Callithrix jacchus: one gene and its partners. The protein of the gene in region 1 purifies or fractionates together with the protein of each later gene. This does not show direct contact. Links are inferred from orthologs where the notes say so. Each region holds a gene or a part of one and is shown in the gene's direction. Other genes may lie near its edges.

Region 1 (6,082 bases):
GCTTCATGGAGTTTAATACAGTCCATGGTCAACGAAGTCACTTTGCTCTTTGAAATTAAAGAGTAAACACAACATTTAAAAAGCACAACCCATATCCCACGGTCTGTGGAAAGTTCAGCAGCCTCCTCAAGATCTTTGTGACTTTTCTAGGAATTTTATGTACTGTGGTCACTTGTGGATTTACAGCCTGATGTTTTGAGCTCACTTGGGACTCATATCCACTACAATCTTCTCTGCTCTTGCAAATCCACACAGAAAACTTAGATCTTTGTCCCTACCCTTCTACCCAAAATATCCAACTGCATCAAACACACTGTTCACACAAGGCACCACTCACTGAAGTCTTGATATAGTTCAGCCTCCCTCTCACTCAAAAATCCTTTCCAGTTACCTACTTTGTACTTTCCTGGCCCCTCCCTTGGTTCTGGCTTCTCTTTTTTCCCCCCTAATTCAATCCCCCTCACTTAATTATGCAGAGCAATCTCTCTTTCCTTCTACTGTGCCCCAGGCTTAACTTTGCATAGCCAAAAACTCATTAATGTCTGGATTAAACAAAGGGCCATTTGTGCAAGATAGAATCATTGGCAGAGATTTTGTGATTTCTTTCACTTTTCCTCAGTAGGTGGAAGAAAGCTGTATGGAAATGTATTTTCCTTAAACTGCAAGGAATGGCTACAGTTTGGGCTTAAATAATCTTTTTCTTCCTCCTTTCTGGTAAATATATACTTTCTTGACATCTATTTCTGATCAACTTTATTTCTTTAACATAGTGGTTCTCAAACTTTTGGTCTCAACTCTTTTGCACACTTAAAAATTGCTAAGGGCTGTAAACAATTTTTGTTTATATTGACATTATCAACATTTACTATATGAGAAACTAAAACCAAAACTTTTTATGTCTTTGAAAACCTTTTTTAAAGTCTGGCTTAATAGAAAACAGCTGTTCTGCATTCATTCCGTTGCAATATCACACACAGTCTCTAACAAACTCAAGTGTATACAACTCATGAGGAAGTGAGAGTGAAAAGGCAAGTAACGTCTTAGTATTATGAAAAGAGTTTTATATTGGTGACCATTTAAACCACTGCATTAACACATATTCTACTTGTGCATTCTCTTTATGAAAAAAAATCTTGAGATTTTGTTTTAACACTGAACCATAGGCCAGGCAAGGTGGCACATGCCCAAAGTCCCCGTCACTCAGGAGGCGGAGCGGGGGAGGATCATTTGAGCCCTGGGGTTCCAGTGAGTAGTGAGCTAGGATGGCGTCTTTGAACAGCCACTGTAATCTCACTGGGCAACATAGTGAGACCCCCATCTTAAACACACACACACACACCCCAGAACCATGAACCAAAAAATGCAGAAGAAACTCATTGACTGACTTGTCATTGTTTATGACTCAAGATTTGAAAACTATGCATGAAGGATGAACAGAATCCAGCGGCATTAGGGTCACCCTTTCACCTCTGTCTCCATCTAAAGTTCCTATTCATCCTTCAAATCTCTGCACAGGTGACGCCTTCTCTCTAGAGCCTCTTTCTCACCACAAATAAGATTATAATAATATTTATTAATTATAATATTTATTAATAACATTTATTAATATGTTTTTATTATTATAATAACAACATATTAACGATAACTACCATTTATTGGCCACTTACTGGGAGCCAAGAAACACCAAAACAGCACGCGTCGGGTCATTTAATTTTCACAGTAAACTCCGAGGAGGATGCTGGCTTCCCTTTACAGAAGAGGTGGCGGAAGGCTGGAGAACAAAGGCCTCTGGCTCTGTGCCCTGCACACCTGCTCTGTCCCAGCACTTATTGCACCCCGAGGGTCACCGTCCACGTGCCTCTGACATGCTCAGGGTGAGTCCTTGCAGTCAAAGGTCAAGGGGGTCTCGCCTTCGCGTCCCCCGCAACCAAATCGTCCGGGCTCAGTGAGGGAGCCACCAGAAGGGAAGGAACTTCCCAGCTTTCCGGTCTTTATGCTCCCGGAGCCCACAAGCCCCAGACAGACATAGGAGAGCTCTCCGTGCTGCTAAACCCTCCAAGCTTTGCCTGGAGAAGGGACTACCCGTGAGCACGTTGCCGGGTCCCTCCTCCTCTAGGCGCGCCAGCTTAGGCCGGAACCTTTTTCCTCCCGCCGCGGTAGCCGGGCGCAGGCCGGAACCTTTCTTCTCGCGCCACCGTTGCCGGGGGGAGGCGTGCGGGGTAGGACCAGTCCTCTAGCTGGCGGATTAGCGCCGCGGTCGCTGGCTGCTGACGTGGGCGGGTCCCGTTTGGGGCTGCGGGTGCGGGTCGCTATGGCGGTGGATATCACGCTGCTATTCCGGGCCAGCGTCAAGACCGTGAAGACGCGGAACAAGGCGCTGGGAGTGGCGGTGGGCGGCGGGGTCGATGGCAGCCGGGATGAGCTGTTCCGCCGGAGCCCCAGGCCCAAGGGCGACTTCTCCAGCCGGGCCCGCGAAGTGGTAAGCTGGTTGCTATGGAAACGGCGGCTTGAGGAGGGGACAGACCTGCGACAGGGACCCCAGGCCCCAAACCAGACCTCGTCCCTTAAGCATTGTGTAAAGAGTGTGGCCCCAAGGAGGACAGTACAGTTGGCCTCAGCCGACAGCTTCTGGGGGAAGGAGCAGCCTTATTTTGAGGAAGGGGGACGCATTATTGGGGAACGGATTTCTCCTTCGGCGGCGGGGTTTAGGGGGCGAAGAAGAAGACGCTCAGAAATCTCTATCTGGAAAGTGCATGGGCGGCTTTGTGAGGTCATGAGATCGCTGTCATTACAGACTTGCACTCGGGAAGTTTCCTCACAGTCCTTCGCTTCCTGTCGAAGCACTGACCACACTGTATTTGCCTGTTCTGTTTGCTTGCCTGCCTCCCACCCCCAGTTGAGATTAAAACCGTATTAAACCGAACTCTTTCTTTACTTTGTCTTCGCAATAAGTAGGACTCAGTTCCGCTTGAGACAGGTTTAGGATAATCTTTCACAGTGTTAAGTCATCTCAACTACTTTCTGTTTCCTGGACAGAGCAGGTGTTCCTTCATCTCCCTGGGACTAGGAACCTTTTCGTTAAGGGAAGGGACAGTGTTGTTTTCATCTCAGAATGCATGACTTATACAGCATTGCTTAGTAAATGTCTGTTGAATGAATGAATGAATAAATGGCTGTCTTTACCACGAGGCAGAAAACTGCACAACGGGAGAGATGTTTGTCTTGTTCCCTATTGTATATGTGACACCAAGTGGGGATCTAGTTTTTGTGGGGCCTAAAGCTTATATAATTCTGTCTCCTCTTTTTAAGAAGAAAACCGCCAAGAAAGGTTGAGAGCTTTGGAAGTTTGAAGTGAGGGACCCTGAAGCTTAAGCTTCATTAATTTCACGCTAAATCTACCTCTGCTTGGCATGCACTTGGCACTGTATAGACATTCAGATATTTTTGAATGAATGTATGCATGCGTGCATTAATGACAGTTAGCTGAAGATACTTAAACCTCAGAAAGGGGATTGGACCAGATGAATACACTTACCCCATTGATGAACATCTATGAAGCACTTACCTTTTGACCAGCCTCATGTTAGAGTAACATGATGTAAAAGGAGTGGTTGAGGATACGGACATAGAAATAAAACAAGTACTGTAAAGCCCTGTAAGTGTTGTGTAGGGCACAAAGAAGAATGTGGTCAGTTCTACCTGAGGATCAGAAAAGGCTTTATAGAGGTGATGATGCTTCAAACAAGTCTTGAAAGAGGATTAGTTGGTTTCAGTACAGACAAGGTGGGGAAGGGCATCTCAGGCTAAGAGCATAGTGTGCGCTAAGGTCTGGAGGTAGGTAATTGTCTGACATAAGTTGGTTCATAAACATTTGAGTGGGACTGGAATGTGGGACTTCTCATAAAAATTGGAATAGAGTGGCAGCAGGGGGAGATCTTGAAGGGCTTTGTATATCACTGCAGAGTTTGAATTTGGCCTTGTAGGTGGGCAGATGTTATATGATAGAGAAAGCACCAAAGATGGAGCGAGCCAAGAGACCAGGTTGTTGTCTGACGGTGCAACTATTAGCTACATGATTTCATTAAGCAAGTTTTAAGACCTTATTTTATTTACCTGTGAATGATCCTTTTTTTTCCTCCTCCTCCTTTTAAAAAACTACCTTGATCCTCTCTATATAACACATCAAAGTGAGAGCTACCTAGGTTGAAATGAGAGGAAGAGAAACAGGACATTCTCCCTCCCTATACTCCCAGTTTGTCCCAAGCACTTCCTGGGGTTCCTTTTGTAGAACTGTGGTATAATATTGTCTTTTGAAGGGCCCCTTCTAACTCTGAAACCACTGATTTATTAGCACTGTGCTAATTTTGAGTCCTGCTCAAGGAAAGGGGGGATTTGGGAATTGGAGAGGCAAGAGGCAACAGTTGGGTTGGCAAGCCCTTTGGAGAGTCCTGTAACCACTTCCACCTCTCCCTGAGTGGTGAAAATGTGTTTTAGGCATTTGAGTTTATGGGCCTCAGAGATAGTAACAGCAACAGTCCCTTAAGGTGCTGAGTTCCCTGTCTTTGGAAGTCATTAAACAGAGTGATGACTGCTTTTTAGAGATGTTTGAGAAGAACTTTGTCCATGTGTCACAGGGTTGGACCACATGGCAGTGAAACTTCCAATTCTGCTATGTATTGATGTGGGTACGTGTCACATCACCTCAAGTGAGTATATGGGCTGTGTTGTTCAGGGACACAGTCCCCCTGACCTAGAGGAAACATATATTCTTTTAAGCAGTTTTGATTTTCTGTTGTCATTGCTTTGTGTGTTATCTTCTATACTTGCAACTGTTTCCCACTCCGCATCTTTTCTTGTGGAAAGTTTAACTAGAAGAACTAGTGATGGATGTCCTGTGCTTTCACTACAGTTAGATGTGTCAAAAGTTTGGTGTTATTTTGTTTGGCCTGGATTCCTTATACAGAAAAGTCTGGTGCACATATCCTGATTCAGATTTAGCCCTGATTGTCAGACCTAAGGAAATGTAGTAAGTTATAGTATGCCTGTTAGTAAGTGCCTTCCTTGAAGCATTTGCTGTCACTTCTAGGATGCATTTTGTCTGGCTCAGTTTCTGTTCTTACATTCCATTCCTCAAATATATGCCTGGTGCCGGATTTCCATCTCACTGAATTGTTATAAAGGCTATATTAAGTTTAATAAAATTGCATTGAAACTAAATCTTCCTCCCCACCTCCCACCAACAGGCTTTCTTCTGCATCGTTCTTTTAAACATTTAACTTTTATGCTCAGTTTTGCTAAATTTATATATACTCAAATGCATGTCTACCCATTAAATTACAAATGGAGAGTAACAACTTTTCAGATTATTTGGGAGAGGAACTTATATTATTTGAACAACTCCAAATAATAATGAATATGTCACTCTACAATGGGAATTTGATGAGTTAACTCATTTGAAGTGTGGGACTAATGAGGACTGTGGGATTGGAAAGGGATCTGGGCCTTGGGTTCAAATCTGGCTTCTTGTACTTAGAAATGGGTGAACTTGGGCAAGTCTGACTCTCATTTTCCATTTCTATAAAATGGACATGATAATACCCTACTTAACTCACCAGCTGAGTTGGGTAGTTGTGAGTCACCCTGCTCGCATAGTCTTTATGTATATGTTTTAAGGAACCAGACTGATTATTATTGTTCCCCTAAACTACCTCGCCTCTCCTCATGGAGGCCATTTAGACGTGTTTTCTTTAGTGGCACCAAGCTATGCTTTCCAAACCACTTAGCTTTCTTGCACTTCATTAAGGGAGCCAAGTTAAGTGCACGAGGAACGCGTGAAAGTCCTGTGCAGGTGCTGACGAATCAGTGGTGGTGCAGAAGTACTGTCCGCATTTGTAAAAGACAGTGGCATTTCTTTGTCAATGTGAAACTCTTTCAGTGATGGCAGATGTGCGGCAGGTGTGCAGCTGTTACTTTCTCTTCTTCCCTGTGATAGTGGAAGCCAATGCTAATTTCTTAGTGGATCCCTATAGCTCAGAGTCCTTTACAACATGGTACCCCAGGAGCCATTACCAATTCAAGTTGA
Region 2 (5,510 bases), on another chromosome or scaffold:
TCACCACAACCTCCGCCTCTTGGGTTCAAGCAATTCTCCTGCCTCAGCCTCCTGAGTAGCTGGGATTACAGGCACACACCACCATGCCCAGCTAATTTTTCTATTTTTAGTAGAGACGGGGTTTCACCATGTTGACCAGGATGGTCTCGATCTCTTGACCTCGTGATCCACCCGCCTCGACCTCCCAGAGTGCTGGGATTACAGGCGTGAGCCACTGCGCCTGGCCGATACTACTCTTAATTGGACTATAATTGTGTGCCCTTTGTCAGCTGATACTATGGTTTTGCATCATTATTTAGCTGTAAGTATTTATAATTCAACTGGATTTTCAAACTCGTGTGAGAACTCTATGCTGTAAGTCTTTAAATCCTCCCCAGTGCTAAGCACAGTGCCTTGTACATAGAGGACACCTAATTTTTTGCTCATCCACTCGTCTATTTGGCATTGATAAGACATATATTGAAGATTTCCTTTGTGCCACACGCTGGTCCTTGGTATTGAGAAACTAAAGATTAAGATGATGTAATAAGGTCTATGCCATGAAGCAGCACAATCTAGTAAGGGAGCTAGACAAGGTGATAAATAGTTAACATATGTTTTGCATAACAGAATAGAAGGATAGTCAGCACACACCAGTAGCTCAGAGGAGCCAGTGACTGGGGACATATTTATAGTTAGGAATATTCTTGTAAATGTTTGAACTGTGTCTTAATGGAAAAATAAGGCTTTTCTTGAAGCAAAAGTAAAAAGACCAGTTTTTAAAAATTACTTGATGCTTTGACTTTACCCTCTTTGTCCCAAGTGTTGTCACATTCTGAGCTCAGTGGGAGAACCCTAGAACCTGGGCAATTCTGTGAGTGGAGGGGTGCCCAAAGGACTCTTACACTTAGGGAGTATGAAACTCATCCCGTAAGGGATGTTGAGATTACACTAGACCACTTAGGGAGTATGAAACTCATCCCGTAAGGGATGTTGAGATGGCTGTGACCAGATTCTGTCCAGGGAGAAGCATAATACCAAAGTTAACCCCTTCCCTCCCCCTTCTAAAAGCACAAACCAATCAACCAAGCAAAAATACCTTAATTTTTCTTTTTCCAAGAGTTTAACCTTAAATGACTTTTTAAAATTATATTACAAAGACATCTAAGTTAGAATGAAAATATTAAGATAGGTGTTTTATGCGAGTAGCATTACTGCAGATAACCCAGGTGAAAGTTTAATTATCACTTTTTCTCCGTTTTTCTTTTATTTGAACACAGCATAAAATTTGAGTTTATTGAATATTAATGCAAGACACCTGGATGTAAATCTTAAGCCAAAGGGGTTAGGGTTTTTCTTTCCTGTATAATTTACTAAATTCCTGAAATAATAAGCCCTGTTTATGTTTCTGTGAAGAAGCACAGATTTTAAACCCTTTTTATGACATGAATTAACGATTTAGAGTGGACCCTGACAGATGGTTTACTTCCTAGCCGGTAAACAAACAGACAACTTTCCCAACTGGAAGAACTTGAAGTAAAGCCTACTTCCCAGGGTGGCTGTAGACCCCCATGAGATAACATGATGACTCTGTAGTCAGTTAAATGTTAGTAGGCATCTAACACATTTGTTTCCCTTTTTACAAGCTGACTGGGTGCTGGGGGTGGTTTACTTTCTTTGAGTAGGCAGGAAGAAGGAAGCTATAAGTAGTGCTTCTTCCTGGGTTAAAAAAAATCACTCTAATAAAGGAACAAAATCTTAACAAGGCTCCTTTGCTCTTAATTTCAGTTTGTCCACACTAGAAATTGAAAATAGAGCCCAAGACCTTCATCTCTTTGAGACTTTGAAGACTGATCCAGAAGCCTTTCACCAGCACATGGTCAAGTATATTTACCCCACGATTGGTGGCTTTGATCACGAAAGGCTGCTGTATTATTTCACTCTTCTGGAAAACTGTGGCTGTGCAGGCTTGGAGAAGTATGCCATTAAACCAGAAACCCACATTCGGCTGCTGAAGAAATTTAAGGTTGTTGCATCAGGTAAGATGGTTCTTTCCCTGCTTGAATTCATTCTTTTAAAATTAATCTGGGGATTAATTTTCTGTGCGTAATTCTGTTCATGCATTATGGTCGGCAGAGCTCTGAAACCACAGAATTTGGAAGCTAATAGACTTCAGTTATTATCTTTCCAACTCTTTCACTTGTGGTTGAGGGAATTAAATACCAGAAAAAGTAAGAAGCCTATTGAAAGTCGCATGGTGATGTATGGCAGACCTGATACTAAAATCCAGAGTTTTGGAATTTGGCTCCAGGGTTTTTTCACTACTCTCATTGGTTATATTTTATGTATATAAATGGCAAGGCCAAGACACTTTATAATAGACAGTTCAGCAGAATTTTATTCCACTGGAGCCTATATGTTTAAATATGCATGGAACACTTCAAGTATGAGTCTTCCAATCTTTGATGAATTGTGGAAATCTTTAGAGTGGTCTTTATTCTCATAACTAAGAAATTAAACACCTTAAGACCTCTTAAATTTTTATACCTTATAATTTGCAAGGCACATTCAAATCTGTATTTATTTGATATTTATAATAATTGTGAGAGTTCCCTTCAGTTTATCAGTTGTTTTCTGAGTCATCAAGTGAGACACTGGCCTAGACACAGAGGATGAGGGAATAAGATTCAGTCCTTACCTTCAAGTAAATAGTGAAACGGCAGATAAATAACAAATGAATATAGTGCAGTTTGGTGAATGCACTGACAGGAGAAAACAGGTGCTGTGGGGGATGCAGAAGTCATGGAGATATTGTCATCTCTGGTGTACAAACGAGGAAATAGAGGCACACAGCAGATGAATGGCCTATCTGGTAAGATTCAGGCTGTGACTAGAACTCAGATTTACTGATCTTTCTAATAGAAAACCTAAACCACCTCCTATAGCTAAGTTGATAGATCTTTGCGTTCAGACATACAGAGGATTGTGTGTGTGTGAAAGCGCCTGTATTTTTGCATCCGAATGAACCACTTACCTACTTTCTTTTTTTTCTGCTAGGTCTTAATTACAAAAAGCTGACAGATGAAAACATGAGTCCTCTTGAAGCACTGGAGCCAGTTCTTTCAAGTCAAAACATCTTATCTATTTCCAAACTTGTTCCCAAAATCCCTGAAAAGGATGGACAGATGCTTTCCCCGAGCTCTCTGTACACCATCTGGTTACAGAAGTTGTTCTGGACTGGAGACCCTCATCTCATTAAACAAGTCCCAGGCTCTTCACCGGAGTGGCTGCATGCCTATGATGTCTGCGTCAAGTACTTTGATCGTCTCCACCCAGGTGACCTCATCACAGTGGTAGATGCAATTACATTTTCTCCTAAAGCTGTGACCAAGGTAAACAGAAATATATTTTAAAGTGGTTTGTGCATGTTAAAAGAAATGAAAATTGCTCCTACATTCTGTAGGTTTTATTTTTATTTCCTTTCTTGAATTGGAAAATAATTACATGTTAGCTTTTTAGAAAGGTTTTGGTTGTTTTTGCTATCAATGAGACGTTTTAATTGGGAAATTTTCTTTCTGTGTTACAAATGTACAAAGATGCTAAAATAGAGATGACTGCTCTAATTTACACATATATGTTGTACATGTCACATACAAGTCTCTTGTCATTTTATAGTAAATATGCCATTCTGTTCTTTCCAGTTGACAAATTTAAAGAAGCTCCAGTGCCCAGCCCAGATTACCTACATTCAGAAACCAGGCTAACAACTCAGCTTGGGTTAAACTGAATCTTTAAAAAAGTTATTGGCTGGTCTCAATGACTCATGCCTGTAATCCCACACTTTGGGAGGCTGAGGCGGGTGGATTACCTGAGGTCAGGAGTTTAAGACCAACCTGGCCAACATGGCGAAACCCCATCTCTACTTAAAAAAAAAAAAAGAAATTAGCTGGGCATGGTGGTGTGCTACTCAGGAGGCTGAGGCAGGAGAATCACGTGAACCCAGGAGACGGAGGTTGCAGTGAGCCGAGAGCATGCTGCTACACTCCAGCCTGGCAACAGAATGAGATTCTGTCTCAAAAAAATAAGAACTCAAAAAAAATAAATAATTTCTTATGCGAATCATGCAGTATATAACTTGGTGATAGAATTATTGAAGAGAATGCATATTGCATTTTCTGATGTCTCCTCCATGCTCACTTCTGAGCTGTTTGACTGGATCTTAATACCTGCACTCAATTCCTCAGCAATGTGTTGCCCCACTCAGAGTAGATAATTTGGGTTCTCCTCCTCCCCGTTCCTGTCCTCTCAGCCAGCCTCACTGCTAAACAAATGGCCATTTTTCACTACGTGGACTCTGGGCATTCTCTCTCCTGGAAAATCTTAGCCTGTGGCCTCAGCCACTGAACTCTGTCACCTTTGGAGGAGCTCCCTTTTGATCTCTTGCCATCTTTGCTGTTGCCTTCTCCTTCCCTGCAAGTCACCGAGGCTGCCCAGTATCCTATCCCCGAGATTTTTATTGTACTTATTATTATCCTGGAAATAGAGTGTAAAGACTAAGAATTGTGAATCATTCATCTGGAGATTGGCACAGGCAGAGGTTCCAACTTCTGTGAAGAATGCCAGTTGTAACCAAATCACTAGATTCGTAGTTGTGGATAACCACGTACCTCTTTATTTTCTTGCTATTGCAACCCGAATCATGTATCTTGGTTTTAAATTTTATAACCACTGCTATAAAAAGGAAATAATCATTTTTGTTGTTTTTAAATAGAAAAATAAGGATGATTTTAAAAGACAAGAGCGTAATATATTTGAAAAGAATGTGTTTGGAGACCTATAAACCTGACTTTGAACTCTAAACCCCTCACTTACTAGCTGTGGCTTAGCTTCAGGAATCTCTCTTAGACTTCTACTTCTTTGGGACAGTGGTTATGGCTGAGTATCAGTGAGGTAGATAATATTATTACTCCAGTTTTATAGATGAGCAAACTGAGGCTCAGCAAAGTTAAGTTGGTAATAGAGAACTCAATTTGAATTCATGGAGATTTAACCCATGGCCTTTTCTCTTAACTAGTGAACTGTGCTATCTCTAAGATGTCATAGAGCAAGCAACTAGAGTCAGGGGACCTGCAACCATTTGAAAAATTGTGGGAAAGCAGTAGAACTAGAGAGCTCTGAGCATTTTTAGCCCAGTAGGAGCAGCATGTCCTGGATGTGTCCAGAGCAGGGCTGAATCTAAATGAGAAAGTCCAGGCAGGAACCTGGCTGTGTATGGGAAGGAACTGAGCCAAGTTATAAGTTTAAAATCCAAGGAACCAGCTTAGAGTTGAGACTTGTGAACTAGCCTTCGATGCTAACAGGCCAGCAGGTCAGCCAGGAGGATTGAGGTATCTTTGCTCCCAGGCAGTTTTCTACTCCACCCTCAGGCTGGAGGTTGTTTTAAATATTTTATGTGAGGGCAGGAAGGGAAGCCAGCGTGGTCAGCCAGGGCTGTATGCTAATTGTGAGTGTGTATGTGGAGGGGACAGAGA
Region 3 (6,102 bases), on another chromosome or scaffold:
TTATATTAGAATAGTACATTTATGACAATTAGTGAACCAATATGGCACGATATTACTAAGTACCATGCTTTATTTAAATTTCCTTAGTCTTTTTTTCGAGATGGAGTCTCACTGTCGCCCAAGTTATAGTGCAAATCTTAGCTCACCGCAATCTCCACCTCCCAGGTTCAAGCAATTTTTAGTGAAGGGTTTCGTCATGTTGGCCAGGCTGATCTCAGGTGATCCACCCGCCTAAGCCTCCCAAACTGCTGGGATTACAGGCGTGAGCCACCACGCCTGGCTGGCTTTTTAACCCAATGCCCTTCTGTTCCAAGATCTCACCCAAGCAAAGACATTACACTTAGTAGTCTCGTCTTCTTGGCTGTGTCGGTTTCACAGACTTTCCTTTTGATGACTTGACAGTTTTGTTTACTTGTTTTAGACAGAGTCTCATTCTTGTTGCCCAGGCTGGAGAGTAGTGAGGTGATCTCACCTCACCGCAACGTCCACCTCCCAGGTACAAACAATCCTCCTGCCTCAGCCTCCCAAGTAGCTGGGATTACGTGCACACACCACCATGCCCGGCTAAGTTTTGTGTATTTTCAGTGGAGACAGGGTTTCCCCATGTTGGACAGGCTGGTCTCAAACTCCCGGCCTCAAGTGATCCTCCTGCCTTGGCCTCCCAAAGTACTGGGATTATTGGTGTGACACAACGCGGCCACCAACAGTTTGGAGGAGTACTATGCAGATATTTTGGAGGATGTGGCTCAACTGGAATTTGTCTAGAGTGTTTTTTTTATGCTTAGATTGGAAGGTCCCGGAAGTAAAAACCCTTCTTTGTTTTTGTTTTGTGAGGCAGAGTCTCACTCTGTCTCCCAAGCTGGAGTGCAGTGGCACGATCTCGGTTCACTGCAACGTTTGCCTCCCGGGTTGAAACGACTCTCCTGCGTCAGCCTCCTGAGCACCACGCCCAGCTAATTTTTTGTATTTTTAGTAGAGATGGGGTTTCACCGTGATTAGCCAGGATAGTCTCGATTTCCTAACCTCGTGATCCACCCACCTTGGACTCCCAAAATGCTGGGATTATAGGCCTGAGCCCCCGCGCCTGGCCTATTTATTTATTTTTTGGGACGAAGTCTCACTCTGTCGTCCAGGTTAGAGCGCAGTGGCGCGATCTCGGCTCACTGCAACCTCTGCCTCCACAGTTCAAGTGATTCTCCTGCCTCAGCCTCCCGAGTAGCCAGGATTACAGGCGTGCACCACCATGCTGGGCTCCTATTTGTATTTTAGTAGAGACAGGGCTTTGACATGTTGGCCTGGCTGAAGTGATCCGCCCGCCTCGGCCTCCCAAAGTGCTGGGATTACAGGCGTGACCCACCGCGCCCGGCCCTCTTCAGCTACTTTTTCTGAAGCCAGAGAGTTAAAGGATCTCTAAAGTTTTTGTTTCCCGTCTCTGAACTACTTCACTGGTCTCCCCGAAGCAGTTCCAGTATTGGCCGGGAGAGGGAGCAAAAAAAAAAAGTAGTCCTGTTTCCTTTTCCTCCAAACGGCTTTCCCAGTGAAGAAACCCGCGAAACTAACCGAGGGGGCGGGACTAAGCTCTGCGCAGAGCCGTCAAATCCGGGCGTGGACCCCGAGCTGTCACGTGAGTGTCCGCGGTCAGCTGACTGCGCCGGACTTCCGCGGCGGGGGGCGCACAACGCGAGTCGAGGGCTTCTGCTGATTGGTGAAGGAGGATTCAGCTTCAGCACCGTGGGGCGGGGCCTCGGCGGTGCGAACTGCCATTGCCTTCCGCCGTTGCCTTCCGCAGGGGCACCGTTCGCGGGTGTGTGCGCATGCGTTGAGGTCTCGGGACGCCAATTGGGGGGTCTTGAGTCACTGGCGGCGTGCGGCAGGTTGGGGCGTGGTCGCCGGAGCGGGCGCCGCGCTACGAGGCCGCTGGTTGGCCAGCGCGAGTCACGTGGTTCCGGGCTGCAGCAGCGCGCACCGGTGCGACGTCAACGCAGCAGGTCGAGCTTTCCCGACCTGTTTTCCGCGGCCCGGCCGCGGCTGAGTCCTCCCAGGGTCGGGGTTGAGCGCCTTGTTGAGTCTCTTTGTAGTCGCCATGGACAATTCCGGGAAGGAAGCGGAGGCGATGGCGCTGTTGGCCGAGGCGGAGCGCAAAGTGAAGAACTCGCAGTCCTTCTTCTCCGGCCTCTTTGGGTGAGAACCGGGCTCAGGGGTCGGCCGGGACCTAGGGTGAGAGGACGAAGGAGTCACGGCCGGAGGCGGCGGGTTAGGCACGCAGGGCTCGGGCCGAGGGGACGGAGAGGAACCTGGAATGAGGTGATATGGTCTGAGGCGGCAGAGGGGACACAGACTGAGGGCCAAGGGCTCGGGCCGGGGCAACACGGTTTGAAGAGAGACGGTCTGACATGGCGGAAGGGACATGGGCTGAGGACACACGGGCCAAGGCGACACTGTCTTGAGGCGAGAAAGGGGACTCAGGCCAAAGACAGGCCAGGGGGCCGAGGGAGAACCTGGACCGAGGGAATACGTCCTGAAGCTTTGGAGGGGACTGGCCTGGGGGGGACGGAGGGAATCCGGGAGAGTAGGCAGGTCGGAGGCCTTTCGGAGCTCTAGGGGCATCTGTCTGAAGGCTCTCAGGCGGCGTGATGGGTCCTGGGACTGAGGACGCCCTGCCCGAGGGACTGACCTTTCCAGTCCCCCAGGGCAGTGGATTTGTGGGGGGTCCTGGGCAGTAAGGGTGATGGCTGAAGGAGGCTGACACCAGACGGAGGGTCTCGGGAATTTGGTGATCCTAGGAGTGGTGAAACACATCTGAAGTGTGTGTTGGGGGGTGCCTAGGTTGAGTCCGGCCCTGGTTAGCAGTGACTAAAGACAGCTGAACCAGGGAACCCGCATGATGGAGCCAAGAGTGAGGAGGTCCCAATACTTTGGGAAGCCGAGGTGGGCAAATCACTGAGGTCAGGAGTTGGAGACCAGCCTGACCAACGTAGTGAAAACCCTTCTCTGCTAAAAATACAAAAACTAGCTGGGCCTGGTGGCTGGTGCCTGTTATCCCAGCTACTCGGGAGGCTGATGCAGGAGAATCACTTGAACCCAGACGGCAGAGGTTGCAGTGAACCGACATCACACCGTTGCACTCCAGCCTGCGTGACAGTACGAGACTGACTCCATGTCAAAGAAAAACAAAAAGACTGAGGAGGCCTGGGTTGAGGCTAAAGACTCCTGGGTGGGGGAACACATGGTGGTGGCTTGGCCAAGGAGATGGAGGGGTAACAGGGCGAGACAGAGGGACAGAAAGAACCAAAACGGGGGATCAGAGGCCTGCTGTGTGATCCTCAAGTAATGGTGATGATGATGACAGGGACATGGTGAGAAGACGGATGGGAAGAGGCTTGGGAGACAGAACTAATGCATATGGCATGGCATAAAACTCGCATTCGCTCCTAAAAGCGACACAGCCATCCTCTGAGAAATTCTAGTGGCTTAGGAGTGTCAAGAGGCCAGGTTTGAAATGTGGCTCTGCCACTTCATGACCTTGGGTAAATTGTTCAGTCTCCCCATTAAAGGAGACCTCGAACCAAACCTACCTGCGATTTGCTGTATTAGGATTGAGCCTGGCATGGAGTTAACGTCTCTGAACATGTTAGCTGTTGTTAATGTGACTTTCCAGAAGGAACAGATTTGGAGCGTGCAGAGGGATGAGGGGTTCAAAGTTAGTGTGAGCGGAGAGGTCTGGGAGGGGTCAGAAGAGGGAGAGATGGAGAAGCATGAGTTTGCTAAGAGGAGCTGAAATAAAACACAAGAGGGACCCAGGAGGACTTAATAGGGTGGAGAGGCACATGAGACTCTGGGCAGAGGAAGTAGAAGGGAGCTGGGGAGGGTTTGGCAGGGGGTGGGAGGTGGGGAGTGAGATCTGCGCTGATGGGGGGTCCTGAAAGGATCAAGGGGAGGCTGTGGGAACAGAGAGGAGGCTTGGGAAAGGACTAGTGGGCTTGTAGAGAGGATGATGTGTGGTAGCCACTCAGAAGCAGAGCCTGGGGAAGGTGGTAGGACTGGGAGCGTCTGCAGAAGGCTGGAGAAGGGGGTTGGGGGGAGGGCCTGGGGATCGGAGGAGACCATGGTAGGAAGCTGGCAGAGGCTGGTAAGACACGAAGTGGAGGGATCTTTCCAAGAGAGGAAAGAACGGGAAAAGGCTCTGGGCCTCGCCCCTTGTTTGAGGTTGGATAATGTTTAGCAAAAGAACTTGAAGAACATGACCGGGAATTGCCTGGTGTGGGGAAACATCCGGGGCTGATGGACCATATTGATTAGGTGAAAAATGTTTTCTTTTAGAGGCTGAGAGGAGGGAGAGGGGGTATGTGTGTGTTTTCTTCATAAGGGGAGAAGTTCAAGTGCTGTGTTTGGGGGTGGGACCACGAGCTGGGTTTTTGGTGATGGTTTTCCTGGGTGGCTCTGAGTGTCTGTTCCCTTTGGCCCAGGGATTGGTGGGTACTGGACCGTGTGCTTGGAGGGAGCAGCTAAGTCAGCCCCAGGGCACTTGCTACCTGGTTGGGAAGGCAAGATGAACACCAAACACTAGTAAAGCAGAATTACGGTAAGGAAGGCCTCGATTATGTCATCCGTGTGAATGGCTGAGCTGAGAGGAAGCAGCGGGAGCTGCATGGAGGCTTCTGGTGAGGAGTGAGCTAGGCCCCAGGGAACGCCCAGGACTTGCTAAGGGAGTGGGGCCGGGGAGGGTGCTCTAGGCAGCAGGGATGGTGCTGCCGAGGTCTAGCGTGAGGAGACGTTCTGCCTGGAAAGACGGGGAACTGAAATCCAGAGGGACCAGAAATGGCTTCCTGGGGGAGAGGGCCCAATCCTGGGGAATGAACAGGAGTTCTGGGGTGCTCTCTGGTATGGAGGAAGTGTGACTGAGCATGCCTTAGGAAGACGAAACACAGAGAGTTCCATGTTAGACCGTAAAGGTGGAAGCGGCACGTAAGGCCAGACAACGAAGGCCTCGTGAGCAAGGACTGGGCCTGGAGGAGTCACTGCAGAGCCCCAAGGAGGCTAAGGGAGGCCCATCCTGGAGGGTTCCCGTTTGCCTTCTAGAAAGGACTGCAGCAGCTGGTATGGGGGAGAGTGACAGCAGGAGGCTGCTGCAGTGCCAGTAATACTAGCACATGCTGGTTACTAAGTGCTCACTCTGACTCAGGCCCAGGCCTGGGCCAGGCTCTACCTGCTGATGGATCGGATAGATTTAGTCCGCACAAAATCTCCAGGAAGGTAGAGAAAGCCGGGGGCTTAGGAGAAGTGACTCTTTGCCCAGCCCCACAGTAAGTGGGAGAGGCAGCATTCAAACCCAGTTCTGTGTGATTCCAGAGCCTTCTCGCTTAGCCCCTTTGCTGTGCCACCACAGTAGTTTCTCCTGAAGGTTCGTGACCATCTCTGGGCACTACACTCAGGAAGGATGTTGGCAAACTGGGTGTGTTGGAGAGCCGCCACCCTCCTAAGTGTCCCCATGGCAGTTTACTCCAAATATTTGAAAGACAGAGCTGGTCGTTCATCCCAGTTCCTTCCAGCTCCAAGCAGAGCTGACCTACGCTCTGGTGCTATGGGGGTGTGAGTGAGGTGAGGGTGGAGGGCAGGGAGGATGGGAGGCTGGCCTGACTAGAGCTCGTGTGCCTGGGAACGGGGAGCACAGCCAGAGGCCAGCTGGGGAGGACCTGCTGGCTGGGTGGGACTCACTCAGGCTCCTCCTCCTCTCTGATCTGAGTTTGCCTGTGTTCAGCATTTCATAACCCACCTTTATTCACGGTCCTTGGTAGCTGCCGGTACTGGAGAAGGGAGTGTTGGGGTTCAGCTTGTCCTTGGTGCCTCTCTTTTCCCTTTTGGGCACCCCAGCAATGACAGCACCCCACATTGAGGGGCCTCTGGTCCTGCCAAAGGGCAAGTCCAATAGCCTCACCCGGGCCGCAAGGCAGTGGGCGTCAGTGCTGCCGCCTGCCTTGGTGCTCAGATGCTGCCCTCGCTCTTCATTACTTCCGGGCTGCCAGATGCTAGGGGGCTTTGACGCACCAGCAGCCACCGAGGGCGACGGCACCAGCCAGTTAGGAGAAGCTCAAAGCCATTCCC

What was found.
Region 2: the proteins of STX18 (region 1) and NBAS purify together in Homo sapiens (co-immunoprecipitation; 5 studies listed by BioGRID and IntAct, counting the BioPlex papers as one, with this or other methods). This does not show direct contact. The link is inferred for Callithrix jacchus from reciprocal best matches to the Homo sapiens genes STX18 and NBAS.
Region 3: the proteins of STX18 (region 1) and NAPA purify together in Homo sapiens (affinity purification with mass spectrometry; 4 studies listed by BioGRID and IntAct, with this or other methods). This does not show direct contact. The link is inferred for Callithrix jacchus from reciprocal best matches to the Homo sapiens genes STX18 and NAPA.

Annotation. Positions count from the first base shown.
Region 1 is NC_133504.1:184,726,266-184,732,347, reverse strand, and holds the start of STX18 (syntaxin-18), read left to right. Parts: upstream 1-2,227; 5' UTR 2,228-2,311; coding exon 2,312-2,479; intron 2,480-6,082. UniProt on the Homo sapiens protein: Syntaxin that may be involved in targeting and fusion of Golgi-derived retrograde transport vesicles with the ER.
Region 2 is NC_133515.1:99,827,005-99,832,514, forward strand, and holds part of NBAS (NBAS subunit of NRZ tethering complex), read left to right. Parts: intron 1-1,767; coding exon 1,768-2,018; intron 2,019-3,036; coding exon 3,037-3,371; intron 3,372-5,510. UniProt on the Homo sapiens protein: Involved in Golgi-to-endoplasmic reticulum (ER) retrograde transport; the function is proposed to depend on its association in the NRZ complex which is believed to play a role in SNARE assembly at the ER. Required for normal embryonic development.
Region 3 is NC_133523.1:41,451,406-41,457,507, reverse strand, and holds the start of NAPA (alpha-soluble NSF attachment protein), read left to right. Parts: upstream 1-1,932; 5' UTR 1,933-2,083; coding exon 2,084-2,181; intron 2,182-4,466; exon of another isoform or gene 4,467-4,582; intron 4,583-6,102. UniProt on the Homo sapiens protein: Required for vesicular transport between the endoplasmic reticulum and the Golgi apparatus. Together with GNA12 promotes CDH5 localization to plasma membrane.